Linked DNA regions of Alligator mississippiensis. The main gene of each other region encodes a partner of the protein of the gene in region 3 in a complex. Links are inferred from orthologs where the notes say so. Each region holds a gene or a part of one and is shown on either strand. Other genes may lie near its edges.

The links. The genes of interacting proteins can lie anywhere in the genome.
Region 1: NUP188 (region 3) and NUP107 share a complex: the UniProt entries of both Homo sapiens proteins name them as parts of the nuclear pore complex. The link is inferred for Alligator mississippiensis from reciprocal best matches to the Homo sapiens genes NUP188 and NUP107.
Region 2: NUP188 (region 3) and NUP85 share a complex: the UniProt entries of both Homo sapiens proteins name them as parts of the nuclear pore complex. The link is inferred for Alligator mississippiensis from reciprocal best matches to the Homo sapiens genes NUP188 and NUP85.

Annotation. Positions count from the first base shown.
Region 1 is NC_081827.1:69,364,514-69,375,612, reverse strand, and holds the start of NUP107 (nuclear pore complex protein Nup107), read right to left. Parts: upstream 4,703-11,099; 5' UTR 4,689-4,702; coding exon 4,681-4,688; intron 1,908-4,680; coding exon 1,851-1,907; coding exon of another isoform or gene 1,849-1,850; intron 1,285-1,848; coding exon 1,199-1,284; exon of another isoform or gene 1,180-1,198; intron 1-1,179. UniProt on the Homo sapiens protein: Plays a role in the nuclear pore complex (NPC) assembly and/or maintenance. Required for the assembly of peripheral proteins into the NPC. May anchor NUP62 to the NPC. Involved in nephrogenesis.
Region 2 is NC_081831.1:12,342,473-12,353,144, forward strand, and holds the start of NUP85 (nuclear pore complex protein Nup85), read left to right. Parts: upstream 1-5,970; 5' UTR 5,971-6,020; coding exon 6,021-6,053; intron 6,054-6,139; coding exon 6,140-6,230; intron 6,231-6,765; coding exon 6,766-6,928; intron 6,929-7,650; coding exon 7,651-7,721; intron 7,722-8,494; coding exon 8,495-8,538; intron 8,539-9,382; coding exon 9,383-9,452; intron 9,453-10,554; coding exon 10,555-10,672. Other genes in the region: 52 kDa repressor of the inhibitor of the protein kinase, read right to left, coding at 3,127-5,523. UniProt on the Homo sapiens protein: Essential component of the nuclear pore complex (NPC) that seems to be required for NPC assembly and maintenance. As part of the NPC Nup107-160 subcomplex plays a role in RNA export and in tethering NUP96/Nup98 and NUP153 to the nucleus.
Region 3 is NC_081835.1:58,082,691-58,093,104, reverse strand, and holds the start of NUP188 (nucleoporin NUP188), read right to left. Parts: upstream 4,162-10,414; 5' UTR 4,092-4,161; coding exon 4,066-4,091; intron 63-4,065; coding exon 8-62; intron 1-7. Other genes in the region: DOLK (dolichol kinase), read left to right, coding at 8,180-9,751. UniProt on the Homo sapiens protein: Component of the nuclear pore complex (NPC), a complex required for the trafficking across the nuclear envelope. Required for proper protein transport into the nucleus.

The DNA of each region.
Region 1 (11,099 bases), on a different chromosome or scaffold from region 3:
ATTGCAAAGCACTTCAGGTATGTACATCCAACCCAGGAGTGGGCATATTCCAGCCCACGGGCTGCATTGGGTCTGCAACGGACCCCATTTCCTAGCAGCCCCTGCCTGTGTTGCTGTAGCTGGATTTCCATGGAGACTCCAGGAGTGGCAGGGCCATAGGTTTCCATGCAGTACTGGCAGGGTGTGCAGCTGGGCAGGGAGCTGCTCTGGGACCAGGATCTTGTGGTGGAGACAGCATGGTCTGGAGCTGGAACAGAGCTGCCATCTACTGCTCACAGTACCCTGCCTGCTTATACTGCACATTTCCCAAGCAATATCAGCAACAGGAAACCGACATGAATCCTGTCAATTTTACTTCTGGCCTGATGATTTGGAAATGGAACAACAAAAAGGGCCACCACCTTATTAAGCTAATTTTGCAGTAGTTCCAGAAAGTAATAGAAAGAACAGATGCACTAGAATTTTTTACCATCAAAATCAGATAATTACTATTGCATTCATTAAATTTATACAAAATGGTTCTAACAATAAAATAGCTATAGTGAAAATGAAATATTAACATTTCCATTTCCATAGTCAATTATATTCATTTGCTAAATCAAAACCCCCAAGTTTTCTAATAATGTTGAAAAATTTTGAAGGGAAACTGAACTAGAATCTAAAAATAACAACACAAAAGACAGAATTAAAACATTCCAGGTGTTACTCCGAATTCTCACTACCAATTTTTTCTATCTCTTTCAGCTTGACAAACATGCATGAAATAGGAATAACTGGCTATATGTTGGATACAGTAAAATTGACAAAATACAAATGCTGTTGAAAGCCTAAGTACAACAGAGGGATTGTTTTTACTATGTAATCTTTCACCAGTAAACACACACTACTTTTGAACAGTAGATTTAAAGGTCTTAGAAGTGGTATTTCAAAGTTAGTGAGTGATATTTCAAAGTTAGTGATGTTCCTTTATATTATGAACGTACAGGACAAGAAAATGCAAGTTTCATACTAGTGTTATTTCAAATGTGCATAATTTCAAGGAATACAATACAGTACTCTATAGCAGTTGAAATTAACTAGATCTCATGGGAGCCATAATTGCTATAAGCCAAAACCAAGAAAAAATAACTATTCCATGGTGCAGTCAAAATATTAGAGGTTTCACAAACACGCAAAAACCTTGACAGAGAAAGGATACTAGAAACTCTTTTTTGAGAACTCTGTTTTCGAGCAGGCCTAGTCATCTCCGCATCTTGTGGGGATGCCACATTTCCAAAATCAGTCCTACAAAACAGAAATGTAGTAAACAAACAAATACAAATAAACAGATTTAAGCAGGACAAACTATGGGAGAAGAATTCTATTTTCTTTTGCTAATTAGATTGTACGATCAATAACTACTTTCAAATACTTTAGAAAAGTAAATAAGTGTAGCCAGTATTTTATGAAATTAAAAAGAAACTACTTTCTCAAAATAACCCCCTCTCCTCACCCCCCCCCCCCGCCCCAAACTCTTGTGGTTGTTTCTATCCAGCAATGTCCTTTAACTTAAAAGAAGAGGGAAATGCTTGAGAAGAAACAAGTTCTCCACAGTGCTGAAAAGATTACGCTACAAATATTAAGTAACTAACTTCACACTCATGGGAAATATTCTAACAGATGCACAGTAGTCCCTCCCACAGCTAGTCCAATTTTAACTAACATCTTTGACAAACTTGAACATTTATGCTGAAGTTCTAATACTAGCTGATTTTACATGAGAACAGAATGTTTTTGAAAAAGTTTAAACAAGTCACATAATGGGTTTATGAGACATGATATTTAAAATAAAGAATGAAGTGAACTCACACCTTTGATTCTTTCCCCAAATATTTTGATTTATCTTTGGCCCATGAAGTTGACCTGTGCTAAGGAGAAGGGAAGATTTAGCTTTCCCATAAAGCAAAATGCTTGTGAAATGCAAACTGCATATAGACCACCAAATACATAATATTTGTAAAGTTCCTAGACTCTGTGGGAAGCTTCAGAATCCAAGAAGTTAACTTATATGCACAGACAAAACTGGAACTTCACTTAGATGAGTAAGTTCAAAGGCCTGAAGAGACCAGCCTCCACACTGAGACACTCCTATACAGCACAGACCTAAGGAACTCCCACAGCAATTCCTGATCCGAGTGCTCAGCTTGTTTGAACTATAGCAGGGCTGTCAAAGTTGATTGGCTCATTTCCCCCACACCACCCCGAGCTGGATCTGGACTGCAGGGCTCCTGGATCCAGATCTCCAGCAGCAGGGCAAAGCAGTGGTGGCATTAAACAGGCAGTTTATGCAGAGGCTCAGACATTTCAGGGAATCAAAGCTTAATACAGCTGTTGCTCACCCTGCCAAAACACATTCCCAGTGGGACTTCATACTCTTAAACTCAGAGGAAGGCCTCACCCCTGCTCACCCCCAAGTTCCCAACCCCTTCAGGAGCCCCATATGCCAGATGACACAGCTCTGCAAGCCAGATCCACCCTACAATGACACCCCTGAACTACCACATTCCTTTAGAAAGATACCTCACCTTGATTTAGAGACATCACATGACAGACTACCCCATATCTGCAGATAAGTTGTTCCATCGGTTCTACCCTCATTGCACCTCATTTCTAGTTAAAGCTATGTGAGCTCCCAACTTCTGATCCCCGTGCCTCCTTGTAGCTTTTTCTACAAGGTACGTGTACACTCAAAACCTCTTCCCCAGATAGCCCTAACCTCATTGCCTTCTCTGATATAAACCAAATAAACTGAACTCTGATAACACATTTTTTTTCAACCCTTGTTAAAACCCCTGGCAGTTTTTCATAGATGTTAGAGGCTGGAAGAGACCTTAGAAGATCATTGAGTTCAGCTCCCCTGCACTTGGGCAGGAAATACTGCCGGGGTCAGATGACCCCAGCAAGGTGCATGTCAAATCGTTTTTTTAAGCTCTCCAGGGTAGGTGACTGTACCACCTCTGGGGGGAGTCTGTTCCAGACCCTCAACACTTGAATGGTGAAGAAGTTTCTCCTTATGTCCAATCTCAAACGATCTTCAATCTGTTGTTGTGGCTGTCGTTTCTTGCCTTCCCCTTGAGGATCCCTTGGTGAACAGATGCTCCCCCAGGCCCTGCTGTGCACCCCTGATATACTTAGAGGCTGCCACCAAGGCTCCTCTAAGTCTTCTTTTCTCCAGGCTGAACAGTCCTATGTCATTTTGCCTTTCCTTGTATGACCTGCTCTCCAGACCTCTAATCATGCATGTAGCCCTCCTTTGGACAACCTCGAGCTTCTCCCCATCCTTCTTGAAGTGTGGCGCCCAGAACTGAACACAGTACTCCAGCTATGGTATCACCAAGGCCTAGTAGAGTGGGAGGAGAACAGGCTTAGTCCTGCTTGAGATACATTGGTAGATGCATACTCGTGTTTGATTTGCTCTGTCAGCTACAGCATCACATTTGTGGCTCACGTTCATTCTGTGATCTGTTACAACCTCCAGATCTCTTTCAGCTGCGGTGCTGGCAAGTATAGCACTGTCAAGCCTATAAGTGTGCTGTGGATTATTCCTCAATGGAATAACGATGGAGCACTTTACATTTCTCAGTGTTAAAGATCATCAGGTTTTGATCCACCTACCTTGCAAGCCTGTTCAGGCCTGTCCTATATCCCCAGCCCCAGCACAGTCCTCCAGTGTGACTGTGCTCCCCCATTATCTGGTGTCATCCACGAGCTTCGCCAGTCTGCTTTTCATATGCAAATCCAAATCACTGATAAACGTGTTGAAAAGCACTAGTCCCAGCACTGAATCCTGAGGGATGCCACTGGTCACCTTCCCCTGTGTTGACTCAGTGCTGTCCATTAATAGACTCTGGATGCATCTTGCACTCAGAGCCAGTCACCTAGCCTGGCAAGTGCACTACCTAGCCTCAGAGCCAGTTTCAACCCTTTAAACATAGTCACTCTCATAGCTTTTTTCTGAACCTAACCCAGAGGACGCCGCAGTCCTGCTCCCATTGCATTCAGGAATACCACACTGCTACGCCTGCTTACATCCTCCTGCAGAGCTCTCACTCCCCCTTTCCTCAACTGTGCACTTGCCTCAAGGCTAAGTCTCCCAGAGATGCTGCTTTCAGGGTACACCCCTCCTTCAACACATTTCCTTCCCTCCCACATGTACCTCCTAGCGCTAAGGGGCACTGAAACGCACGGTGTCAACTAACGCAGACTAGCAAGAGGGTGCGTGTGTGAACAAGAAGGGTGCTTCCCCACCAGCACAAGAAGATACAACGCGCGCTGGCAGAGCGCCCTGCTGTTTGGTCGGGAAACCGGCGGTGGCAGCGGCTCTCGCCCAGGCCGGGAACGAGCTGCCAACACCGCGGCCCCGCTGTCAGTCCGCTGAGGGAGGGCGGCCCTGCGGCGGGGGCACCATACGAGGGCCGGCACAGCCCCTCCACGAGCTCCTGGAGCCGGCGCAAGAGACCAAGCGGAAGCCTCCGACACGAGCCCTGAGGAGAGACCGCGCCAGCGCAGCCACCTGCGGCAGCCCAGGCCAGGGGGGGAGCTACTGCACAGCCCGCGCCTCCCTCCGCCCTGAGCGCATCGGGCATGGGAGCCCCTGGCCACCTCCGTCCGGCGCTGGCTAGAGAGAGGAGAGGCACTCACCAGTCCATGCCGGCAGCCCCGGCCGTGGCCACTACTTGAGCCTTCCCGCGTTCCGGAAGCACCCGCCCGCCACCGGAAGCTGACCCTGCACCGGCGCCGCGCGCAGAAGGCGCATGCGCCTCCTGCCTGCGCGCTGCTGCCTGCGATGGACGAGGCGGAACTGTGGGTGCGCGCATGTGCACATTAGCCTGCGGTGGCTCGGGTGGGCTGCGTCCCTCAGCTCTGGGGCAAGGGGCGCCTTTCCTGTGCGGCCTGCTGGGGGTCGGGGGCTGTCAGTGAAGCTTAATGCTCCTCTCAAGAGTGTCTTACGCCAGGCATTAGGCCTGAGCAGCAAACAGCGCTGGGGCACGCCCGCCTCTAGGAGTAGGTGGGGCCGGGGGGCTGCCCCCTGCGTCACTCCTGCCTGCAGAGTTCAGTGCATCTTGCACTCAGAGCTCCTCTGGCAGCATAGCCTGCTTGTTGCAGGCACAGGTTTGCACTGATTTTTTTTCTCCCATTAATATATTTCGTGTTCCGGATCAAGTCAGCCAAATCATACTAATTGGTCAGAGCTCAAATCGTTCTGAAAACCTCATTGATTGAGCAGGCAGAACTCAATCTCTTCAAAACACCATGCATGATGCTACAACCGGCGGGCATCCTCCGTCGCGGGCTCTCACTCTAGGAATTCAGATAGTCCCAAATCTACTGGCAGGCATCCTAGTGCAAGCCTAAAGCCAGAGGGCTTCAGATTTAGGTACACGATCCACAGAAGCTCGCACTCCGATGGGGCTGGTGGCTAACATTATTGCAGCAGAACAAGGCGAGTAGAGAGGGGTGAAGATGCTACGTCAGCCCTTTAGGGACAGGATCCTAGAGAAAGCAGGAGGGATGGGGACTTCCAGGGTTAGCTAGTCCGGCCCTATCCAAACCATCCGACAAAACCGTAAGTTAACTCCACTACCCTTTTTATTCCTTCACTACCCTTGCACAAGCACAAACCTAACATCCTACGCTAAAGCAGGCAACATCCTAGTTCTGTAAAATATTGTCAACATTTACAAGGGTTGAAAAAAAAAAAAAAGGGTTCAAGAGATCTGGGGTAGAGGGCAATACCCCAACTCTGCAAAGGAAGGCAAACCCCCCACCCTCCCCCTCTGCCCCCATTGGTTGAGACCTTCCCCTCCCTACCTTTTTGCTTTTTTTTTTTTTTTTAATTTATTTACTTCAGCCATAAGCACCTGAACCATGCTTGGTTGTCCTTAAGCACAGTAAATAAGAAATAGTGGGTTTTTTACATTATTTAGTTACACCTACCCGATAATAGTTTATCATTGCTGGTGGACAATGCCAGGAGTTAGTTCCAAGTAATTTAAATCAGACCAATTTTTAATAGATAAGGATCACCCACAATTATGCCAGTACATTTCAAGACGAGATGCACAAAAGGGGTTTTGAGCCATCTGGGGCACCTATCATCGAGTCTTACACCATATGAAAATAAAACTTTAACACAGGCAGGCAAAGTCAAACCCATGGGCCAGATCCAGCCAGCAGTGGACTCCGTTTCCCAGTAGCCCCTGCTCTGTGGCTGGAGCCACTTTCCATGCAGAACCCAGCAGCAGTTGCCCCATGACAGTAGGGGGCAGGGTTTCCATAGAGACCCCTGGGAGGGGTGGCTGTGGGGAATTGAGGGGTTGCTCTAGCTGCTTCAAGCCCCACCCCCGGCACCTCCCCTGCTGGCAGGGCAGAGAGCTGCGTTGGAGCTGAGCTGGGATCTTTCAGCCGTGACAGCGTGATCCAGAGCCAGGGCAGAGCCGTGACCTGCACACCCCAGTCCGGGGCATGCATGCTGCAGATCACAGCTCTCTGCCCTGGCTCAGGATCACGTCACCGCTGAAAGATCCCAGCCCAGCTCCAGAGCAGCATTGCACCCTGCTATTTGCCCTGCCAGTGCTGGTCTCGATGGGAGGCCAGGGTTTCCATGATCACAGCAAATCGGCTGCTGGGGTGTCCATGGAGACTGGCCCCAGCCGTACAGGCAGGGGCTGCTAGGAAATGGAGTCCAGCTGCTAGCCGGATCACCCATTTTGTCTATCTCTGCTTTAACAAGTCACGAGTTGCTAAGAAAAATACCTGCTCTCCCAAAGAAAAAGCCATTAAAATGATTATTAAAAACCAACAGTAAGAAATCCATCATACAAGAACACAGGAAAACTAGCAGAAGCAAAACATTTACTTGAACTCTCTCCAGTACAAGCAAGCAATAAGCACATTGTGTTGCTTCCCTTACTCTTGGCAGTAGGTAGGGTGCAGGATCTTACCATCCTCCCCTTCCAAATTATATACACCATCAAAAGCTTGTAATGTCAGATTCTAAACTAATATATTGTCTTATACTAGTGAAGGAAAGTGCATGTGACAACTTTATTTTAAAATTGAATCTACTCTTTCATTTACACAGTATAGAATGTAGGAACCCAGCTATCTGGATTTTGGCTCACAAGCCTACTACTCTTAGGTGTTATAGAGATGAGTGGGGCAGCCTTCCTAGTTTTTTATAAATTAGAGAAGTAACATGCTGTGCTAGAGACTAAAAAATTCTATTTTCTTAAACTGTAGAACAATCATTTGGTAGCAGGGGGAGGGACAAGAGAAGGAAGCTTCATTGTGCCCAGTATAAACATAGGAATTTAATATATGGGTAACTAGGAGTTTCAGGGATTGAAGTGCATACTCCTCTTTCACCTGAAACATTACTGTTTTTTTGTAGAGAAGAATAGAAGCTTTTATTCTTGAATATGTATACCCAGCATGACTGAAGCAACTGATCAACTTCCTGCTAGGTCTTAAGGAAGTATGTATGATGTGGTTAAAATGTGAAAAGTTCAGTTACACTGAACAAAGGAGGAAATAACTACAACTGCAAATTCATTTTAAAATCAGACACAGATCTTTTAATAGACAGGCAGAGATGCTGCATTTGAAAAAACAGTTCATTTCCCAATAATTTTAGTTCAGCTATGGTCCTTTCAAAAAGTGGTGGCAGTGAAAGTAGAAAACACTGAAGCTGCAAGTCTGCACTCTGCAGAGCTTCCTCTTCAAATATGTTACAGGAGCATGGAATTAAATGCTAGTCAGTTCGTTTAGTCTATGATTCTGTCCCTTTACCATACTGTTTCAGCAGAAAAACTTATACAGCCCTGATACAAACTAGCCCCAAAGGAAGTGGAAAGCCGGTCCTCATCTTATCCAGGTTTTAGATTACCAAATAAATTTAAGAATTTAATGAAACTAAGGCTACATGAACGGATTCCATAGCCGTTTAAATATTTGTATGAAGACAACCACTTTCAAAACAAAATGAAGATTTCCTACAGGGTTTAAAACCCACAGTGTAACACAAATTTGAAATCAGAGTACAAATGGACTCAGCTGTGCCATTTCATTTTTCTACCCAACCTGGAAGAGAGAAAAAAAGTGAGAAACCATGGAACCTTAAAATCATAAGTATGTTATTTAAAAAAAATAGAACAGGTTTTTGTTTTTTTTAAAAAACAAAAAACAAAATCCAACTTGACCACAGCACACACACTAAAAAGAGAAAAGCAAATTAGGTAATTGAGGAAGACCAACTGCAGGTATAAGAACTGAATTTGATTAAGAGTTCTGTTTCTCTAATCTTGTTAGATATGCTTTCAGGTATAAACTTCAAAGAACTACAACTGTGTAAGTTGCTTTTGCTCCAGTTTTCCTGTTCCTATTCTCTAAACAAGCTGGACACAAAAGGTCTAGAGACTGTTGTCATTCATGTATGAAATTCTTTGGAAAAAAAGTTTGGATGGAAGTTCAAGGATTTTTATGCATCTTCATGCTTAGCTGCATCTGCATTACAATTGAAGGAAAAATGTTACACACACACACACACACACACACACACACACACTGTATGCAGACTATCCAATTTTTCTTTTTCAAAGAGGAATAGTGTATTGTTGCTCAAACAGACAGATTTCAACTAAAAAAACAACCCACAGAAACTCTCATTCAAACTGAATAACCACTGGGGGTTTAGAGGGTGGGGATTGGAGAGAGGCTTGGCCTCAATTACAAGAGAAGAAAAGCTTCCAAGTCTAAAGAAATGTGCAGTAAGGTTTGCAAAGCACCAGAAATCTAAGATTTTTATCTATACTACTTAAGTCTTCCCCAAATTTAAGTTATTTATCATCTCTAACTCTCACGTGCCTTGCAACAGCAATTTACAGATGTAATCCATGAGCAAGACAGAAACCTACTGATCTATCCAGAACTCTCTCAAGCTTTTTCCCACCTCCTTTTAAAGGCAAAAGTATCAATCTATCTTTTAAAAACAAATAAGCATGCAACTCTGCAGTACTTTTCTGCAAGTTTGGGTACTGTTTTACTTGAGATTACTTGTGTACAGTGATGAGGTCTTTCAGTTACAGATTTAAAGCCATTTTACAAATTAAGTTTCAAAACACCCTTACAAGATGTAAAACGTAAATATTCAGAGTTGGGACCCAGCAACTCCCCCAAGGTAAAGGCAGAGTTTGGGAGGAAGCTGACATACAGATTCTACTCTTAAAGAGGAATGACTTTATACATTTGGGCAATGAATAATATCTACCCTGGCTCTCCAGGGACCTAGCAGAACTCCTGAGGCTAAAAAGAAAGGCCTACAAAGGATAGAGGATGGGAGTAACCTCCAAGGAGGATTATTCTGACTGGTCCGGTCCTGTAGGGAGCAGACCAGGAAAGCCAAGGCTGCAACTGAACTCCAGCTAGCTTTGAGCATCACGGACACTAAAAAGTCCTTTTTCAGATATGTGGGGAGCCAGAGGAAAAGCAGGGGCAACATTGGACCCCTGCTGAACCAGATGGGGCAACTGACGCCCAGGAAAAAGCCAACCTATTAAATAGGTACTTTGCATCAGTCTTTCATCAGCCCCATGGGATGCCCATGCCCGCTACAGGGCCGGGAAGTCTGGGTGAGGGTGATCCCCTGCCCTCCATTGATGCTGACTTGTGAAGGAACATCTTGAGAAGCTGGATACCTTCAAGTCAGCCGGCCCTGACAATCTTCACCCCAGGGTACTCAAGGAGCTGGCGAGCATCATAGCCCAGCCTCTAGCGCAGATCTTTGAAAACTCTTGGCGCTCTGGTGTAGTGCCCGAAGACTGGAAGAAGGCCAACGTGGTGCCTATCTTCAAGAAAGGGAGGAAAGTGGATCCAGCTAACTATAGGCCCATCAGCCTGACTTCTATCCCGGGGAAGATCTTAGAAAAGTTTATTAAAGAGGCCATCCTTAATGGACTGGCCGACGCCAACATCTTAAGGGATAGCCAGCACGGGTTTGTTGCGGGTTGGTTAAACAAGACCTCTCTCATTTCCTTCTATGACCAGGTGACCTATCACCTGGACAAGGGAGAAGAGATTGATGTCATATATCTTGACTTCAAAAAAGCCTTTGATCTGGTGTCCCATGATCGCCTCTTGGTGAAACTGGCCAATTGTCGCCTTGGGTCCTCCACGATCCACTGGCTGGAAAATTGGCTCCGGGGTCGGACCCAGAGGGTAGTAATTGATGGAAGTCACTCATCATGGTGTCCTGTGACCAGTGGGGTCCCCCAAGGTTCTGTCCTTGGACCCATACTGTTCAACATCTTCATTAATGATGTGGACACTGGAGTCAGAAGCGGACTGGCCAAGTTCGCCGATGACACCAAACTTTGGGGCAAAGCATCCACACCAGAAGACAGGCGGGTGATCCAGGCTGACCTGGACAGGCTCAGCAAGTGGGCGGATGAGAATCTGATGGTGTTCAACGCCGATAAATGCAAGGTTCTCCACCTTGGGGAAAAAAAACCCGCAGCATCCTTATAGGCTCGGCAGTGCTATGTTGGCTAGCACTATGGAAGAAAGAGACTTGGGGGTCATCATTGACCACAAGATGAACATGAGCCTGCAATACGATGTGGTGGCTAGTAAAGCGACCAAAATGCTGGCTTGCATTCATAGATGCTTCTCAAGCAAATCCCGGGACGTCATTCTCCCCCTGTACTCGGCCTTAGTGAGGCCGCAGCTGGAGTACTGTGTCCAGTTTTGGGCTCCACAATTCAAAAAGGATGTGGAGAAGCTTGAGAGAGTCCAGAGAAGAGCCACGCGCATGATCAGAAGTCAGGGAAGCAGACCCTACGATGACCGGCTGAGAGCCCTGGGGCTCTTTAGCCTGGAAAAGCGCAGGCTCAGGGGTGATCTGATGGCCACCTACAAGTTTATCAGGGGTGACCACCAGTATCTGGGGGAACGTTTGTTCACCAAAGCGCCCCAAGGGATGACGTGGTCGAATGGTCACAAACTACTTCAAGATCGTTTCAGGCTGGACATAAGGAAGAATTTCTTTACTGTCCGAGCCCCCA
Region 2 (10,672 bases), on a different chromosome or scaffold from region 3:
TTCCTCCCACAATTGTTAGTGTTCACATTATGAATGGAAGAGCTGGGAGCAATCCCATGGCCCATTAGGGACTATGAAGGATATAAATGAACAAAGAGAAATTCTGGAGGCAAAATGGCCAGAAAAGTCCCTCTGAACAGGTGAAGTAAGTGCCCTTTCCTGTCCAAGTCATATGGGACTTCCAGTGGAGTACATGAACAGGACTAAGTCACTGAAGTTATTTAGATGTCTTACTACTGCTAAGCACCAACAAGATATCAAAAGTCTCACTGAACTTGGCAGCCCAGTGAGCTAGCACAGTAAAGGCACACCAATCGCTACAGCCAACAGTACACGAAGGAGTGACATGGCTCCCGTGTGCCATTTGCCTGCCGAAGCAACTAGGTACTCATTTGAAGCTGGGTCAGTTAGGGACAGCCTTTAGCAAAAGTCCAGAACAAGACTCACACTCACATCTTGGGAGCCATAGCAAGATACTTAGCTGTTGTACTACTTGACCCCACAGATATTCATGATCCTCTCTGTGGACTGAGACCTTGTAGTGGCAGAGAGGCTTGTGTGTCCCAATGATCCTCAGAGCTATGTTGTCTGCAGTTTTGTACTTCTGGCAGGATCACTCACAGTGAACAAGCCTGAGGGGAGGTTCCAGACAAACTATGGTCCAACCCCAAGTCCTCAATGGTGGATCAGGCAGAAGGTGTTAGGATCTCAACAGCTGTAAAAACAGAAGGCGGCTGCACCAAAACGGAGGTCTCCTGTCATCAGGGTTTCTCCCGACACCGGGTCCAGATCTCTACCTTGTGAAGATTGTGTGGCTGCTGTTTTTGTGCACCAGCTTCCTCAGGTTAAATGAAGTCATACACAGGCTTCTGCCACAGGAAACACTCTCCAATGAGCTGTGGTAGAGATCATCCTCGAATCAAGGGACTGCCACCAATGATGACAATGGAAGAAGAGGTCACAAAATGGTGGAATGAGACGAGCACCACTAAAGGAGACAGGAGGGCTTGAAAGAGACAGCACAGAGTGCATCTCAGTACTGGACTGTAATGTTACCCTCTCAAGTGTTCAAGCCCAGCACTGGACTCCACACAGCAATAGCCCTGTGCAATGAAGATTGTCCTGCCTTTCTAGGAGGGATTTAGCACTGCAGGGGGAGAACAAAATGACTGGATACAATGATATAGCCAGATACAAGTGAGAGAAGGGACAAGAGAAAAAGGCAACATGAAAGAGAGATTTAAAAGGCATCATGGAAAGAAAAAGAGGAGCCCAGATATGAGAGCAGACAAATTCTGGACAGGGAGTAGGTAAATGTGTGGCAAGAGGCATCAGAGTATAAACTGAAGGACAAACCCAAGGAAATTAGGATTCCTCTCCTGCTACAGTCCTGTGAACATGGGATCTGGGTGTTTTTTTCTCCTTAACTGCATTGGGAAGCATTGGGAAGCTAGAAAGAATAAAGAAGGATTATTTAAAAATATACAAATGTTCAGGAGATGAAAGATTTTAGGATCTTTGGGAGTTGGCCTGGGATTGTACCAAAGAGAGGAGGAGTTTTGAGAGCATGGAGAAATTTGGTTGACACAAAGGAGCAGACACTTGATAAGTCCAGAGCTTTATTAAAATTTGTTGCTCGAGGGCATGCTGGAAGTCTGCTTCCATTCTTAGCTTTTGTATCTCCTGATCAGCTAGGATAATTCCCCATTTTTCTCTCAACTTCTCAATTAAAACAGAATTCCTTCCAAGTGAGGAGCGCTGCACTCTCCCCTCCAAAGCCATCTGCAGACATTCTGCGGAATGGCAAGGACAGACTCCAAAGTCCAAGCTCACAGGAGACACTGGGCAGAACAATTTGCCCCAAATTCCAACAGGGAGAGTAAAACAAGCATGAAATGAAAGCAGCAAGGATAGAATCTTGCCTGGAATCAACTGAGCTGAAACACATGTGATTACAAAGAAGGCTAAGGGGTGAGAGCTGAGTTCAGCAGAGCAAAGCCCCCCCCAGATTCCCTAGGAGGCTTAAATTCTATTTGAATCTAGGAATCAAGATTCATCCTTGGGCAACTGGCCAACCATACCAACAAATTGGTGCCAACTGGCCAATCTGTGAAGAAGAGAGCCTAACTCCATCACAGAGACACATGACAGTGTCTAGTCACCCAGAGCACACTGCAGAGGGAGGTCACACTGCACAACAGACCTAAACCTGTGGCACCCAAGTGATAGTAAAGTGGCACAAGCTGGTGCCTTGTCTGTAAGGGGTCAATGGCCTAATTCAGTGAGTTGAAGAGGAGCAAAGGGGTAGAACTCCACAGAAATGCTACTTCCAGGAGAAAAACCAATGTGCAATTTCATAATCATTTCCACATTAAGCCCGAGGTTGGGTTTGCATAAGCAAAAAGAGCGAGGCTAAAGTTGACCTCTCAACTTTTAACTCTGGAAGCCTGATTGTATAACCGTCACTTTGCATTAATATGGTTTTGTGCACAGAGTATAAACTGCATGCAATCTTCCCAACTTCTTACATCAACATTCATAAATACTGACACCTCCTCTTTCCCCAAGTCACAACATTAGTGTAGAAGGAATGAGCTTTAAAAGGTAATCAATGCCCCCTTTCTCATCAACTTTCTGCTTTTTCAGAAAATAGTGCTTTCCTGCTTTTTGCTTTCTTGGTTGGGCAGGTCTTGAGTTCCCTAGACCTTCTGTGCTGGCAGTGTTCCCAGCTGGCCAGAGGAGTTCTGTAGTTCCATAGTTCCACACTGGCCTCCAGTTTCAGCCTATGGAGGTTAATCAGGCATAAACCATGACTGGTTTCCTCTGGCCATAACCAATGGGATGACAGACAAAATTGCCTGGGGCATCTAGGCACAAGAACCAGCATGGGATGCGGTGCATCATCATCACATATAACAATACAATTTTTCTCCAACTACAAAGAAACTAGAAACTTTACTAATATCCTAGGGGCCAAGGGTTATACTATTGAGTTTAAGATTGAAACAAAAACAAATGCAACTTTATTGGAATGTGCAGTCAGTTGCTATATTAAGTATAAAAAGGGCAACAAACTAGGAAAGACTTTTGTCCTGTAATCATTAGGATGCTATGTACATTTCTCATTCAGAGTAATAAAATAAAATCTAGCCTTGAGCGTCTTGACAGTTCATCCAACACTTCACTGACAGTTATTTTAATGTGCGAGTTTATGTACAACATGGCCAGTCCATTAAGACGCTCTTCATCCACTGCTGAACGAAGCCAAGTTTTAATTCTGTGGAGAGTAGAGAAACATCTTTTCGCTGGAGCTGCGGATACAGGAAGCGTGCACAGAATCCTGAGTAAAATATGAATGTTTGGAAACCATCCCTTGTCGCAGTCTGTCAGACTATCAATGGCTGTGCTTGGCACTTCTTTTTCCTCCTTGCCCTGCCACTTGAGTTTCCACAATTGAAATTCCTCCAAAACCATATTCCTGCTATCTGGCAAGTCTTCACCATACATTTCTAAAACACGGCTAAGCTTTTCAGATGGATACCGACATGAAACGAGAGGTATTAGAATGCCAAGATCCGTTACAGTGTTGCTGTGCAATGTAAATCTCCTCGCCAGTTCTTGAATCATGAAGTCCAAAAATGGGATATAAGTGTTAATTCGAAAGTAGTCCTCAACACTGTCACATGAAACATTGCATCTGTTTTGCTGCCGGGCTGCAAGTTGAGGCAATTTTACCTCAATGTCATGTTTAATTGCAAGTGACTGGGCAATATTAAATATTTCTGCAAATTCAGCATTAGAGTTAGATCTCTTACCTTCTAAAACCTCAACTGCCAATTTCACTTGGTCAAAACATTCCACAATGTCAGCATTTACCCTCTGAAGTTCCTTGGACAGTGGAAGAGTGATTCCTAAGAGGAATTCAGCAACTGTCAAATTGATAATAAATTCAAAATCACATACGCTTTTGTAGTAGAAATTTGCTTTATTTCTGACAGCTTTGTCACCATCCGTCTGCATTGCTTCCAGTGCTGCAATAATAGCATCGTAGAGCTCAGCGAACACCATGATACTGTCATGTCGCTCCACCCATCTAGTAACACAGGCACTTTGCAAGCGTTTGTGCCTGCTCTTTGGGCACGTGGCATTTATAGCATCTGACAGGTACTTCATCCGTTTGGCCGACTCCTCAAAATATCCAATAGCTTCATTCAGAATGCCTAAGGTAGTTTCTATTCCACGTATTGTGCAAGATTTTGCTATGGTAAGATTCAAAGCATGAGATGCACAATGGCTGTACGCAGCTTTGGGAAAGTCAGATTTTATGTGAGCCTGTATACTGTTTACGTGGCCAGCCACTTTGGTGGCTCCATCATAACCCTGCCCCCTCAATTTTGTCAAATCTAGACTACATTCCCTCAAGAAATCCAAAAGGGCCTTTGCTAAACCGGCACCAGTCAGGTTATAAACAGGTAAAAAGCCTAGGAAAACTTCACAAACTGTAACTGGATCTTCTTTGACATATCGCACACAGACAGACATTTGTTCCACATTTGAAATGACTGTGGTTTCATCATCTAGGAATACCGCAAAGAAACCCGACTCATTTATTTCATGTACCAGCTTGCTTCTGACGATGATATTGCTTGCTTCTATAATTTCCCTTTGAATGGTTTCACTACTGTATATTGCATTTTGGGGCTCATTTAGTAAGTGTTCGTGTAAGGTTATGTCACCAGCTTGACAATGGAGACGCAGAAGTGATTGGAAAATGCTTTCAGATTTACTCTCACCGTTCTTACCCAATTCACCGTTATCCTTCCCTCCAAGTGGCAGACCGTTTTTACCTGCAAACACCACAGTCTCAATGATAGGCGCAAGTTTCTTTCGGTTTTCTTCTACCTGGGCACATCTTTCTTCATCCAGCGTGTGTATGAGAATTTTATAGGTTTTTTCATAACATTCGCTGAATATTTGTGCTTCCAAACAGGCTGCTCCGTGAAACTTTTTTGTAGTGTGATTTTTTAATTTTGTCGTAACTTTTTGCCAATTCTTGCATGGCTGAGAAACCAGCGTAGACAGTTTCTGGCCTCCTACCTGTATTGGGGCAAACAGCACACAAACACGACAAAAGACGCCCGCGCATTTCTCGCTATAAGATACGAACGGATAATTTATCAGCCACGAGTAATTAAATTTTCGCGACGTGTTCTCCGAGTCTTTATACACCGGGAACTCATAGCTCGGATGAGGGGTCCACGGCTGGGTAAGCAGTTTATACTTAATTTCATCGCTTATCGAATGCCTACAGTCTACGTAGTTCCCAATGTCGTAGTCGTGGGGAGTTTCGGGATCGGGCAGGGCTTCCTTTTGATCCAGCGCCAACGGCTGAGCTTGATGCGCCGCAGCAGACTCGGGATCCAGCGGTTCCCACGCGTCGGGCTCGCTTTTCACCGTCGCGACGCACCGCTTCGTACAGAACGGATTCGCGGCCGTCTCGTCTTCTTTCCATCTCTTCTCCATGTCGGCCCGGACCACGAGGCGCCCCACGCAGAGCGGGGACCTGGAACAGCACAGGAGGGAAAGACAGCGGCACCCGTTGGCCCAGCAGGGCGATGTTTCGGAGGCCTCGCTGTGCAGCCCGACAACCGGCACAGCACCGCGCCCCCGAGCCGGCGGGGCGGGGCGGGGAGAACGGAACGGAGCCGCCCGCACCCCAGAGCCCGAGCCCGGCCCTCGGCTCTCCAGCAGGGCCAGTGGGGTTCTTCCTTCAGCCCGTCGCGCGGGGCTGCCCTCGGCGCGCCTGCCCCCCCCAAAAAACCCAAAACAAACCTAATTGTTAAGGCCCAGCAAACCCATCCTCCTCGCCACAGCGCTTTCTACTCTCGGAGGTTAATGAAGGCGGTGGCTTCGCAACGTGGGGCGGAGTCGAAGGCGACAGGCAGCGCGGAGGGCAGCCGGGAGGGGGCCTTCCTCTGCGAGGGCGCGCGGCGGCCGGGCTGGAGCGCGGCGGCGGCACCATGGAGGAGCTGGATGTGGAGCCGGCGCTCACTGTATGGAGGCGGCGGGGCGGGTGGGGCGGAGGGCACCGGCCTGGCCTGGCCTGGCCTGACCTGACCGCCCCGTTCTTCCCTGACAGGTGGTGCCGGGGGTGGCGCCGGGCCGCGGGCTGCACTTCCAGTGGGGGCCCGGAGAAATGCTGGTGTGCGAGGCCGCCTTCCCCGGCGCAGGTGGGTTAGCACCCCCCCCCCCTCCGTCTTATTCAGCAACATAAGGGTTACCATCCTCCCCCCCTATTTTATGCTGAACATAAATAAAGAAAGAAATAAGGGTTAAGGTTTTGTTTTAACAGGAGCTGAGATTTTCAGGGCGTCTCTGACTCCCCGAGTTGAGGCCGTTAAGGAAGGAAACTGCACCTTCACGTGGCAGAAGCAGCAGCACAAACGGGGCAGGAGCAGGGGGAGAGTTCAGCGCCAGCAGCGCTGATCAGCCGTAGGCGTTCAGGTGTAGGAACGCAGGGACTCGGACACTGATCACAGGGGAACCGACTTGGAGTTGTCTCCAGCAGAATATTTATCGCATCCAGTCGGTCTGCACCTCTCGCGCTGTTTTTGTTACTGGCTCATTTCTTAATCCTCATGTGTCGCTTAAAAACAGTTAAACCCTGGGTTTTAACTTGTGAAGCCTAGAAGCGTGCTTCTGCCCTGCAGAGTGGTAACGCTCGTGTTGTTTTATGAACTGATGGCTTTCCATGATTTGTTTCAGGACACGGGGAGAAAGGGCCTGGCTGCCCCTATATTTATGTCCTTCGCAAGGATCAGGACATATACTTACATACCTTACGTAAACTTTTCAATGAATCCCATGGCATCTTTGTGGGGCTCCAGAGGAGTGAGGAAGAACTGTCTGGGAAATCAAGGAAGGCACAGTGAGTGGATGGAAATGCTTGATAAGTTTGACATAAAAAGGACAATTCAGCTTTCTTGCCGCCCCCCCCCAAGAATATCCTCTTATTGAGGCAAAATTCAGGTAGCATGTTTGCACGTCCCCTTTCGTTGTTAAAGTGTCTCCGAGTCACTGAAGTGATCAGACATAAATACCTACTTGCCTCTTGTTGACTGAACGTAGTAATGAATGTATTTTGGTTTTGTTATTCCTCTTTATTATTGCCTAGTCTCCTTTACTGCTGATGAATGTTGCCGCCTCCCTGGCCAAGGGGGTAGGAGATCAATCCCCTTAGGACTGGTGCACATGGCTGTCTTGTTAGGAAGGGAGGTGGTACATTAATAATTATGCTGTACAAAAAAGGCCTAACGTATTGCTCCTGTTTGTACATCAAACACAAGTCCGTTTGCAGTGAAGCCAATAACAAAACTTCTGAGTTTCAAGTTCTCAGAGCTGCTGCTGATCAGTAATTTTACGTAACTAATCTTTTCAATATATATTTTATAAAGTTAGGTTCTGCGCCTGCAGATTATTTTGTGCAGACAGAACCTATATGGACTCCCCTTGCTTCATTTAGATTCTCCAGTGCAGGAGGTGAATTTCTGGCTGAGCAGAGAAAATTTGAAGGGTCTTGATCCTAATGTCCAGTAGCCATATGGCCAATAATACATCTCTCTCTAAACAAGGCCTCTTTATTCTTGCTAGGTTGGTTGGAGTAAGTAAAAACTACCGGTCAGTCATCAGAGCCTGCATGGAGGACATGCATCAGGTGGCTAGTAAGTTGTTTTTCTCCATTAACAACAAACAGACTAGGTTTGAGTCCATACATTGAATCTTATTGCAACTCTTTATTATAAATGACCGTAAAATAAGCTGTTCTGATTGTCAGTGGGGGTTCTGCTCTTCTCCCTAAATTCCATGCTGATTTTTGAACAGAGGCTGAGACATCGTTGCATTACTTTTTAATTGAACTTGCAAGATTACTCTTGTGGTTACGTCTTTTTAATCTTATCCACTCTATTTCTCTACTCTTCAATTCCTTTCTTAAATTTTTCAGTTCCTTGGCAAACCTGATCATTTTCTATTTTTTTACCTTGCTTCTGGTTTTGCTGATTTTTCTTCACACAAGATACTTTGCAACCTAGCACCCCAACTCTAACCTAGCTGCGTCAAGGGTCATTCTTGCTGTCCCTTTTAGAATGCTGGACTTCTGAATCACCTGTCATTTCATGAATGAAAAAGGTGGTTTCTTTATTATGATCTGTTCTGAACCCTTAGGGTTAGAAACAGGTTTTCCCGCAGAGCAGACAACAATATAGCACCATTATAATAGTGGAATGCCCCTACTCTCTGTGACTGATTGCAGCAGTATGATGATACTTGTTGCCAGTCATGTTTTTTTCTTGCACATAGCATCACTCATGGTCATTTATTTTTCTGTGCTACTCTGCTTCATGAGCCTTTAAGCACTGTGTGACATGTCTAAAATACAGTTTAAAAGGTCTGGACAAATGTTTGGACTACTTCTATTTATTTTTTTCTTCCTCAGTTTCAACTCGGGATCCTGCCCTGCACAACCAGTATAGCACTCAGGTAAACAGTCCTTATATTTTTGAAACCTGGTCACAACTGAAAGTAAACTCTTGCCAGAAAATATACGAAGGCTAGCATACTGTGGCAGTGATATGTTCTGAATCTGGGTTGTTTTAGTCATTTGGCTCTGTGTACCCGCAGCTGTACATGGCCAGATACACAAGCTGTAGGAGCCATTTATTTATATGTATTTATACAGTTATGAAAAGTTGCCCCTTTGAATTGTGGCTCCCCCACTATTACCTCAGTATATGTCCAGTTTTGCAGGTGAGAGGCAATCTTACCATTTTATAAAATCTGTGAGCCAATATCTCACTTCACCCTTCAAATACCACATCCAAAATAAGCAGATGCGTCTCCTAGCAATCCCTGAAAATTAGACCGTGAACTTGCAGCAATAATAGACCAATCTTCCAGGAAGAGCAAAAAGTATTAGATGTAGATGCATCTTATCACTGGTATTTCTCTTCTAAAATTCAGATCTGAGTTGCTTTACAGAACCAGAGTAAATCACTTTTTGGTTAAGGCTTTTCTGTACAAGGCCTTTGAGCATTAATGTTAGAAAGAATTCCTGTACCATTCAGTGTTTAGCACAAATGAAGGATTTTTTTCTATTACAGTTTACAAACAACTTTTAAAACTTAACCCAATTACATAAAGAAAATGTGGTGACCCATTGTCTCCTTGTAATTCACATCTTCTCTAAATGTCAGTAACCATTTCTTTTACCCACAAGAAGGAAACTTAAGCAATAAGGAGGGAGGATGTTATTCAAATGTCTTTGCTTTTGCTAGGAAGCATGGGAGTGATTAATACATTGGTAACTGTTCCTGTTTTTCCTCAGGTCTCTATTCTCTCTGCAATGGAACTGATTTGGAATCTCTGTGAGATTCTCTTTGTTGAAGTGGCACCAGGTGAGAATAGACCTATACTGATGTTAATATTGAGAGGGGCTTTTTTGTTCATGTACCTATTTGTTTTAGAAAAGCATGTAGAAATTATTACATCTTACCATCTCTTCAGCAATCATACTATTAATGCCAGGAAGTAACAACAAACCTGTCCCTTCTTCTGGCCAGAGATAAGAATTACTTTCTGTATCTTGCATCGAATTCTAAATTAATAGATCATTTGCCTTTTTCCTTCCAGTTCCTGCTTTCTGTGCCCTGTGTATTTTAACCTAGAAATGGAACTGTTTCTAGTTACCTGACCTTAATTAATTACAGTGCCATCAAACAGACTTTGTTTTCACCTGACAATCAAAAATTAAGGAAAAATCTCAAATACAAATGCTATTTAAATTCTTAACCAGCAACTCTATATACTTCCTAAGTATCAGTTACCCATTAGGGGCCAAATGATCTGATGCAACTCCTGTGACTTCAGTGTGTTTTCATTCACTTCAGCTCAATTTCAGCAGAGAATTTGACCCTAGGATTCCAATCCAAATGGCTTGTAGAAGCATATTTCTTTGCATAAACTGACTTCCCTTTTTCATTCACATACTGAGATTTTTCAAAGTGTTGACACTAGTTGCTGGAGAACATATTCATTACTTGGTACAAGCTTTTTTCTTCATTTCAGGCTAAGAGAAATCAGATTGGGAATAAAATAAACACATTCATAAGTTTGTGCATCATGTAGACAGTGTAAGGTTTATCTATGTTCATCCTTCTGTGTCTTCAAGCACTTGTCTTTTGCAAATGACACCACTATAGTTACTCAGTAACTTTGCCAGGGTGAAAGAGAAAGTTAGTAGACAAAGGGTTCTTTTTCAATCTGTAAAATTCTGAGTTTAATTTGGAGTCTGCTGTATTTCCATCATCTGGATATTTGTGTATTTTCTGCTAGGGCTTGAGACTGGTAGATGATAATATGGATGAGCAAGAGAAATAGGCAGACTTGTCCCCATCTCTTGCTCTTAGGAAACGCAGGGTGCACCTACTAACATTAGAAGCTGGAAACAGCAGGCAGCAGAGCAAGAATCTAATGGAGAGATGTTTTCTCTGACTGCAGCTGGTCACCTCCTGCTTCACCTCCTTGACTGGGTTCAACTTCACGTGTGTGACGTGGACAGTATGGTCCGTGAAGTTCTGAACAGCGAAAATCCATCCAAACATGAGCTCTTCTGGAA
Region 3 (10,414 bases):
TACTTACCGTCTCCCTCAAAGCTGATCTGCCCAGCAGAATGGTCCACAGTTCTCTGCTACTCCTGTCAATAAAGTAAAAAAAGTGTGTTATTTTGCTATCAAACACTGTTAAACAGCTAATGCGAGTCTAGGCAAGGTTCTTTGGGTAAATATGATATATTTTGTTAGACCAACTAAATAGTTGGAAAAATTGTTCTTTGCAAGCTTTTGGGCACAAACACCCATCTTTAGGCATAGGGAGAGTGACTATGCCTGAAGAAGGGTGTTTGTGCCTGAAAACTTGCAAAAAACTATTTTTCCACCTATTTAGTTGGTCTAATAAAAGATATCACATTTACCCAAAGAACCTTGTCTGCCTATGTCCTTAGACCAACACGGCTACAACCAACATCCTGAAACAGTGTCAGTCTATAACTTTCTAAAGTTGGTTTTAACTTAGAGCAGACTAAGTGGTAAGGGACCACGCACAAACCTAACCAATGGCTTTAAGCAAACCAAACTTTAAGGAAACCAAGCTAAATACAGAGACCTTTCACTAAGCTTTCTTTGTTGTTATGACCTGAATACCTCCATCCTTGGATGGAACACAAACTGAGCACAAGGTAAGAACATGCCCTTGTTTTCCTGAAGGCAAAGAACTGTCCTGACTCTCCACCATAGTTTAGGTAAGACTTGTTTCTATCCATTTCCCAAGCCCTCATGAGAAAAGCTTGTTTGTGCCAGAAGGTATTTGAGATCAAATCCTTATCCTACTATGGACTTCTCAGAAAGAAAGAAGAGCCACTCTAGATTGATATGAATAAAATCTAGCTATTTAAAATTGCTGTATTAACAGCATCTTCCAAAATGAAGCCCCTTTAGGAGTTTGGGGAACTAATGATCTGATGGAAGCATAACCCAAATAAAGTTTTAAATAAAAATCAGTACAAAATCACCATGCAAAAGCTGGCCGTCTAGAAAGGAACAAACAGAACTTGTGACATGTTTTTCATATGACAGTTTTTATCCAAGAAAACTTAATTGGCAATACTCTCACAATATCTAGAATAAGTTAGACATTGAAAATGGTAACTCTGAAGATGTCTATACCTTGAAGAAAACACCAAAAACCACCAACAGCATTGTGTTAGCTACGTTATGGCTAAAATACACACAGCCTGACTTGCTGCCAATCAAGATACACTTAGGATGGAAGTGTCTTATTTTGACTAAATTACCCTGGAGTTACTCCAGAATGAGGCAGACTAGAAACATCTTTTTCTCCTCTGGTTGAAAATTACTACTTCCTCTCAAATAGTAGAGCAGTAGCAAAATACCTGAACATAATTCCTTCACAAGTAATCAGAAGAACCAAGAAATGCAAAGAAAAGCAACACTAACTAAAAGCAAACTATTTACTTTGAGAATGCAATCTACAAAAAATATCACTATAAAGTTCAAATCCCTAAGTGTCTTTTAATACAGCAATGCTACATAATTGATTTCCAGTGTTACGGTTTCTAATGCACTCATTGGTGTAGTTTCTAGCTGCCGATTCCTTTCTAGTTAGATATACTTCATTCTATAAAAGCAGAAGAACCTGTCCTATTCCAATTAGCGATAAAATGTGTGTCACCCCTCTGTCCCGTGCAGAGCACCAAGACTACAGAATTCTCCCAAGGAGATACTCCCTCTGTAATGCATAACAGCAATATGGCTGAATCAATTCCACCCCATTTTCATTTCATTCAGAACTTTTCCAGGATTAAAATGGGGCTTCAACTCCTTCCAATTCACTTAAAGATGCTTCTTGGGAAAGATGCTATTGGGAAAGGAAATTTCTCTTATGAAGCATTTATAATGCACAATAGTGCTCCTATCCCAGGTGGTGCCTTGGGCATGATTATCCATGTAATTAATTAATATATTGAAAAAATAGTTGCTTAAAGTCAAAGAGTTTTGACATGTTACAAGCAAGATCAAAAGAACAGTAAAGATATCCAAAGGCTTAAAGTGTATATCAGCTCCTCAAATATCAATTTCATCATGAGACTACACATTTGACTTGAAAATCTGATCTCTGTCTTCAAGGTTTATGGCTCACTTCTGGAGATTAAAGCTCTAAGAACAGACTTTAATGTGCAGTGCACAGAATGTAATTTTTTTGCAACAGAACCAGAAAAGTTCTCTATAACGTGTTCTCAGTGTTCTACAGAACAATGGACTATTTGGTCCCGTTCTGGTGGTGTGTAAACTGAGATTTCCATTTGGCAGCAAAACTGTTTAAAAAGTTGCTCTATTTTTGTTAGCACATATTCTCCACTTAAGATTCTAAATGGACAAAAACACTAATATATCTAATTCACTGCTGGTCCCTGTGCCTCCTCTCACTGCTAAAAATAAATAAAATAAAATAAATTACTTTTTCAAGCATTTCAAATGCAAGGCTGCGAACAGAGGCAAGTTTACAGCCTGGGTACCCATTTGCATCATTCACAGATTCACCGAAGTTTAGGGTTGTAAGGGACCTCATGATGAGATCATTGGGTCCAGCTTCCCTGCTCTGGGCAGGAAAGCTTGCTCAGGTCAAATAACCCTGCAAAACATATGTCCACTCTTTCATTCAGGGATGAAAGAGTTTGTTCTTGTAGTCATCCTGCCCTGCTTTCTCTTGTAACCAGTTTACATCAAGTTTTGTGACTACTGTAGTACCATTAGGTTGCTCCCATTCACACCTCAATCAAGACCCTCTGGGCTAGGCTCTATTATATTCCACTCTCACACCCCAAGCAGCTGTGCAGCCCAACTCTCCTCAGCCCCAAGCCAAATAGAAGTCCTTACAAACAGAGCTGAAGTCTGAATGGTTTGATAAATTGCTGCTGTTTACCCACCCCAAAATGATTAACCACTCCTTTTACTGCTGGAGATGCACAATGAACCTCAGTGCGGCAGTTTTCAACCTTTTTTCATTTGCGGGCCCATATAAAATGTCAAAGGGAGGTGCGGACCGCTTGGACTTTTAAGTGCGTGTATTTGCCTGCTTTTGATCGATCATAATCATCTTTCACGGATCCCTTACATCAGGGGTGGGCAAAATGCAGCCCGCGGGCCAGATGCAGCCCACCAGGCCATTTATCCAGCCTGCAGAGCCCCCCAAAATTTAGAAAATTAATATTTATCTGCCCCAGGCTGCCTGTCATATGGCCCTCGATGGCTTTCCAAGACTCAGTAAGCAGCCCTCCACCGGAAATAATTGCCCGCCCCTGCTTTACACAGTCTGTGGACCCCCAGGGATCCAAACCCCACGTGGAAATGGATCTGATGTAGGCTGATGGAAACAGCTCCTGGGAGCCCAGGAAGTCCCCTCCGCACCCTCACTAGGAACAAGAACCGCTTTGATAAGGACCCATTTATTATGCTCCGGGGTCCGCACCAGGATCCAAGGGAGTTATACAAGACCTAGGAGCCCACAGGGCCTGCTTTCCCCCTGGCTCCCACGACGCCCTTGTTTTTTCAGGAGCTCCTCGAGGGAACGAGCTTCAGAAGTGGATTATGTCGAAGACCGCCAGACCCTGCGTTTCCCGGACTGCAGCGAAGGGGTGAATTGAGCCACCTCATGCAGGTGCACGCGGAGCGGAGCAGGGCAGGGCAGGGCAGGGCAGGGCAGGTGAATTGAGCCACCTCATGCAGATGCACGCGGAGCGGAGCAGGGCAGGGCAGGGCAGGGCAGGGCAGGGCATTTCCCCCCCGCCCGGCCTGCGGGCGCAGGCGGCACCGCAGCCCGGTGCGATGCAGCCACGGGGCCAGCCCCAGCCGGGCGGTGGAGAAAGTGAGTGGGTGCGTGGGAGACGCCTGGCAGCGGGGCACAGCGCCACCCCCTACCTCGTCGGAGCCCCCTGCTTGGGGGGACACCTAGCGCCCAGAGGTGATTTACCCGAGGGGTGGGGGGGGTCTCTGCTCCAGGAGAACAAGGAGGGTTTGGACGGGAACAGACAGCTAGAGGGGGTCCCTTGAACCCAGCCCGACCCCCCGGGAGGAGCCGTTGCCGGTGGGAGAGACTCCCGCCACCGCCGCGCGCGCTCCTACCTCGCGCACAGCCCGCCGGCCGCCATCTTCGCGCCCCTCTCACGTGACCCGTTACCCGCCGCTCGGGCCGGCACCTGCGTCACGTGACGGGGCCTCGCGCCCAGCCTGTCGCGGGGGTTCATCACGTGACGGACGCAGCCGGCAAGATGGCGCCGGCCTGTGAGGTGAGTGGCCTCGAGTCTGGTGCTGCGGGGAGGCGGCGCCATGGAGACGAAGCGGCTCGCGGGCGGGGGGCGGGTGTTCGCCTTTCCCCTCCCCAGTCCCTCCTCCGTCAGGGCTCTTTGCTGGCCGTGGCATTGCTGGTTGTCGCAGCGAAGAGGCGCCCCGCGGCCCTGCTTAGTCCCGGAGGCTGCTCCTTCGGGCGTCCTTGCCCCCGTCACCTGCCCCCTGGGTCGCCTCCGAAGTGGCTGCCAGGGCCACCGCTGTCCCCCAAAAACTCACTGGGGGAGTTAATGGAAGGAGGTAGAAGGAGCTCAGACAAACACTAAGCAGCGGAGATAAGGAAGAAATCCTGCCTTTTGTTTCAGTGGAGACGGGAGAGGAGCTGGAGAGCCGAGGTGCGGAGACAAAGCACGGCTGCTCGAGATGTCAGGAGCTGCAAAAGAGACGCCTAGACCAGCGGTGAGATTCAATGAGAAATAACGGCGGCCCGTGAGAGATGGAGTGAGCACAGAGGTGAGGCCACTGGGAGATGAGCTCGAGGAGACCCTGCCAACGAGAGGGCGATTTTGCAGCAGCTCAGAAAGTGAGCGGTGACCCTGGAAAGATAGGAGGGCAGGAATAGTGTGGCATCTTCTGTATGTGAGGAAGTGGAAGTATTGTGAGATGATGGAGCTTGGAGAGGTCGTGTTTGGTGAAACCTTTGCAATTCCCTTGTTCCTAAAACAAGGCAACGAAATCAGTGAATGATAAAGTCTTTTGTTATATAGTTATAGTATGCCCTAGATTGGAGTGGGCAATTCTTTGGGCCCGCGGGCCACATAGGTAGCTTTGGAGAGCTGCAGCTGCACCCTTCCCTCTCCCTACCCCCCCCCCCAAAAAAAACAACCCAACAGCCCGGAGCCCACACGCCCTTCAGCTCCTCCCTGCCACCGGCACCCAGCAGCAGCTGAGTTTACAGCCCTGGCCCCAGCTTGCCCCATACCCGCTCCGGATTCACCCCAGCTAGAGCGGACCAGCTCCAGACCAGGTGGGAAGTGTATGCAAACCCCCAACCACCACCTGCCCCACACCTGATCTGGACTGCCCAGCCACAATGAGCAGCAGTGGCAGCCATGCAGAAGCTGCTGCTGGGTGCAGGGGAAAAGCAGTCATATGTCACCCCACCTCCCTTTGCCACTGCCAGGCCTTTCTTGCTGCGACCGCTTGGAGTCCATGCCCTGTGGCTTCTCTCTGCTACTGTCACCACTGCCACCAGTATTGCCTCTGAGCAGCCCAGCAGGGCATTGGAGAGGAGCCGCAGGATAGCCCAGGTGCAGGCTCCAGGTGGCCAGCGAAAAAAGATGGGCACTTTTCCCCTGCACCCAGTGGTAGCTTCTGCACAGCCACCAACGCTGGCATCGCTGCTTAACATGGGCAGGCAGTCCGAAGCAGGCTGGGGTCAGGGCTGTGCATGTAGGTCCCAGCTGGTCTGGAGTTGGTCCACTCCAGCTTGGGTGAGTCTGCAGTGGGTGCAGGGCTGGCTGGGGTTGTGTGTGCAGGTCCCCACCAGACTCCATGGGGCTGAGGGCATCTGCTGCCACCTGGGCTGCCTAGAAATGGAGCCCAGCCACAGAACTGCCCCAGCCCTGCTGCGTGCCTGGGCATGGCAGGACATGCCACAGGCCAGATGGCACCTGGGCCAGGCAGGATTGAGGGACCTGCTGTGGGCTGGGCAAAGCCCCTCTGTGGGCCGTATTTCTTCCCCCCCACCCTAGGTTTCCAAATTACACTGTGTCTGGGTTGCACTTGAAGATGCTTATAAATCAGCATTTGACATCCAAGTGTATCCCTGTGGGGCTTTTTGAACAGACTTCTTGAAGTGAGGCTGCTAAGTGTCACTGTTGCATTGGAGCTGAGCTGGAACTTACAATCAGCCATATTCCTCTGTTGTATATCTCCTCCCTAGCTAGTATGTGAGGTACACTTTGCCCCTCTTGGAGAGGTCCTCACTCCTTATACAAATCTAGAAATGGCCTGCTCAAAGCTAGTATTGGGCAGAGGGGGGTAAAATTGGCACGGGTTTTTTTTTAACCTTTTTTGACTATATAAAACTTTTTTCCTGTATGACTTCAAAACTGATGAATGAGTTGTTGAACAGGGGGAAATACATGCATCTTGGCCTAGCTTTATAGCAGCAGCAAATATGAATTGATCGCTTAAAATAATTTTGTATTTCAAATCCTATGGGTATAGATATCAAAAGAACCCTAATGAAAATTAGAACTAAAATTATTACATTTGCAGTACAAAGTTTCCAGCCAATGAGAAAACTATCTAGACCCTAAACATCAATTATTTGAGTAACCTTTAAGAATGTTATTACAAGATATTTTTTCCTTAGCTTAAATAGAGTGAGGTACCACTGATAAAGTATGTAATATGTAAGAGGAAATAATAAATTCTGGAGAGGATGTGAAAGATTTTACCTCCTTACCAATGAAATTGTCAAGTTAAGGTAAGCTGTAGAAGACAGACTGGCAAGGACTTCTCTGTTTGATATCTTATTGGACCAACTACATGGTAGGGATAAGCTTAAAATGCATATTAAGATGACTGGGAGTTCACAGAATACTCTGGGATATTTATTTTGTTGCATCACAGATTATAGTTTTCCATCCAGATTTTAGATGTTCTTAATTTGTGTTGAATCTGTTGCTAACAGATTTGTGTTGACTCTTATTCAGTCAAAATGTCAGCATGGATCAAATTTTCAAGTTATTAGTTAATATTTCTAAAGCATGATTATTACTTAAGGGAGAGAAGACACTTGTATTAAAAGGCAGGAAAACTGTTTCCTTACAAAGAGACACTATAAATTTAATTCATACATAGGTTAGACTTTTATTTACTAAAATTAGGCTTACCATAATTAGAAATTTATCAGTGAGGAAGTTTATCTTTGGTGTGTTTACAGTGTTTGCTTTGTCAATACCCATTGCTGTTTGTTTCTTGCCTTTCACAAAATAAGAGGAGAGAGAAAAATATTTTTAAAAACAGGGAAATACAACTGTAAATTCACAAAAAATTGGAAGGAAGGAATTGGGAACAAAGGTAGGGCCCATAGAACATTTACATTTTTTAAATTGACTTTGCAGGCTGAATATCAATATCTGATTTACCTATTCTGGTTTATTTTATTTATGATTTGTGTTCATTTTACATACCAGTTAGTATGTGCTCTGTTTTTGTTGGTATATTTTAAACAACCAAATATTGCTGATGATTGGAATAGCATTATTCATCTCTATTAATACCAAAATCTTACCAATAATTATATCCATAATTGTTTAATTTGCATAGTTCACAATGTGTGTGTGTGTGCGCGCACACACGTGCATGTGTTTTAGGTTATATAATGTCATTTACATTTACAACAAACTTGTGACTTAAGGGGGATTTTTTTTGTATTTAAGTTATAAGTTACTGAAGTAGCTAAATGCATTTACCAGTGTAATTCTTTTGAGCATTGCTGCTTGTATTTGTGCACACTCCTTGCAGAATGCAGTGCTCACCTCCCTACTCTCAGTAGCGGAAAGAAAAATGTGACATACCAACTAGAGTTTTTAGTATTTGCATGTGAATAAAAGTGCTGTGAGATTTGGCACTAGAAATGGAAGCTGACTTGGACTTTTCTGATTCTTAGATGCCATGGAAAATGCCAGTTTATTTCCTTCTTGGTTTTATTTTTCTTGTACAGGAGTTGAAGCATGCAGCTGAGCTTAAGAAAATGGGTTGTTTTTGTAGAAGCTCTGAGTGTTCTTATAGTCTCTAATGTTGTTGTTTTGTTTATGTTTATAGGAATTGCAGTAGGATGAAAGTGAACTTCTACGAACGGACCAAAGACCGTATTGAAAACATTGGGATCAGACAATTATAACGATTTTAACATCACGGGACACAGCTGATTGGAACCATGTTACTCAAGCCAGTGCTTGTAGAATCTCTGGTTGTTTTCACCATTGTGCTGTGTGTGCACATGGTGGTGTGGGATCGGTATTCCTGGTGCGCTATTGCTCTTGCCATTCAGGCTTTTTATGTCCAGTTTAAATGGGACCGTCTCCTCCAGTTGGGTGGAGCAGTTTTCCAGTTCCGGACAACGGCTAATAGCGGCCTTCTACCAGCTAGCATGGTCATTCCACTGTTGGGGATTGTGATGAAAGAGAGATGCAAGATGTCTGGCATTGTGTATTTTGAACGTTTTGGCATAGTTGTGGCCTCCACTGGCATGGTGATAGCCCTCTTCTTATCTGTAATAGCAGTTGGCATCACAAAACCTGTGCCAACTAATACTTGCATACTTTCTGGTGTTGCTGGAAGCTTAATCATCTACACCATGAAACATTCTTTGACTGTTTCTGAAGTGGTAGAGGTTCTGGAAGTGCTGCTTATTTTTGTCTACCTCAGTATGATCCTGTTGTACCTATTGCCCCGCTGCTTCTCTCCTGGGGAAGCATTACTGGTCCTTGGGGGCATAAGTTTTATCCTCAACCAGCTCATTAAGCGCTCACTAAATGTGATAGAGGGCAGAGGAGATCCTATAGACTTCTTCCTTCTGGTGTTAGTGGTTGGTGTGGTCCTTCTGGGGATTTTCTTTACTGTTCTTTTCCTCTTCATGGATTCAGGAACTTGGACCTCTTCCATGTTTTTCCACATGATGACAGCAGTGCTTGGCCTGGGGGTCATCATGCCTTGGCTTTACCGGCTCATCCGAAGGAATCCTTTGTTTTGGTTGCTCCAGTTTCTGTTTCAGACGCAGACAAGAGTTTACCTTCTCGGGTACTGGACCTTGTTGGCTGCCTCTGCGTGCACTGTGGTTCTCTACCAGAATGCCAAGAGATCATCTGAATCTAAAAAGCACCAAGCTCCAACCGTAATCAGAAAATGCTTTCATTTCATAGTGGTGGCTACTTATGTCCCTGGGCTAATTTATGACCCTCAGCTTCTCTATGTTGCTGCAGTGTTATGCTTGGCAGTGTTTATCTTTTTAGAGTACGTGCGGTACTTCAGGATCAAGCCATTTGGCCAAATGCTCAGGCACTTGCTCTCTCTCTTTTTGGATGAACGTGATAGTGGACCTCTGATCTTAACTCATATTTACCTTCTTCTTGGGATGTCCCTTCCCGTGTGGTTGTTCCCTAGACCTTGTGCTCACAAAGGTTTCTTGTCTGGGACAGGTGCATTGGTTCCCTATTCAGGGGTCCTGGCAGTAGGGGTGGGAGATACCATAGCCTCAGTTTTTGGCAGTACAATGGGAGAAATCAAATGGCCTGGAACAAAGAAGACATTTGAAGGGACAATGACTGCCATTTTTGCTCAGATCATTGCTGTGGCTCTTATTCTCATCTTTGACATCAATGTGAATCTAAACTCCAGCTATGCTTGGATTTTAGGTTCTATCAGCTTAGTTTCCCTTTTGGAAGCCTACACTACCCAAATAGATAATCTCTTCTTGCCTCTCTACCTCCAGATACTGCTTATGGCTTAGTGATGGCAAGGAACAGTCACTTTCCTTTTTCCAAATAAGAATGGCAACAGGATACGCATCCCAGTCAAGGGATCAACAGAGGCAGTCTGGTACAAAATACTATATTTGGTACAGCAGATAAAATGGCTGAAGACAGAAATGGATTAACTCTTCTAATGTCAATTAACAATAAAGGTAAAGGCTTCTGTTGGTCCTTTTACTTTTAATAACTAAAGCAGCACCAGTTGCTACATCTTCCCATACGAGTAACAGGAAACCATCTACCTGATACTCTGATTCAAATTGTGGGTGACAATTTAGATACTAAATCACAAAGGGCACCTGTACATGCCACGGGATTTAATCCTCATTAAATTAAATAAATTTATAAAATTTAAGCTTGTTTATTTTGGAGCGTTGCATCAGTGCTTGCACATACTAGGTTTTCAAACTAATTAAGTCCAGTCCCTGGCTGGTGCTTCAGGAGAGCGGGACAGTCCCACACTGCTCCTCATGCCCTGCCATGCAGCTGTGGGAGCAGGGAGCTGGCACATGGCACAAGGAAAAAATAAATTAAAAAAGCAGCAGCAATTCAAAGGGGTGAACTACAAAAAGTCACAGCACCATCTGGTGGACAAAGAGGCTCATTACATGTCTTCGTGGATTCATTGCATGCAGACACAA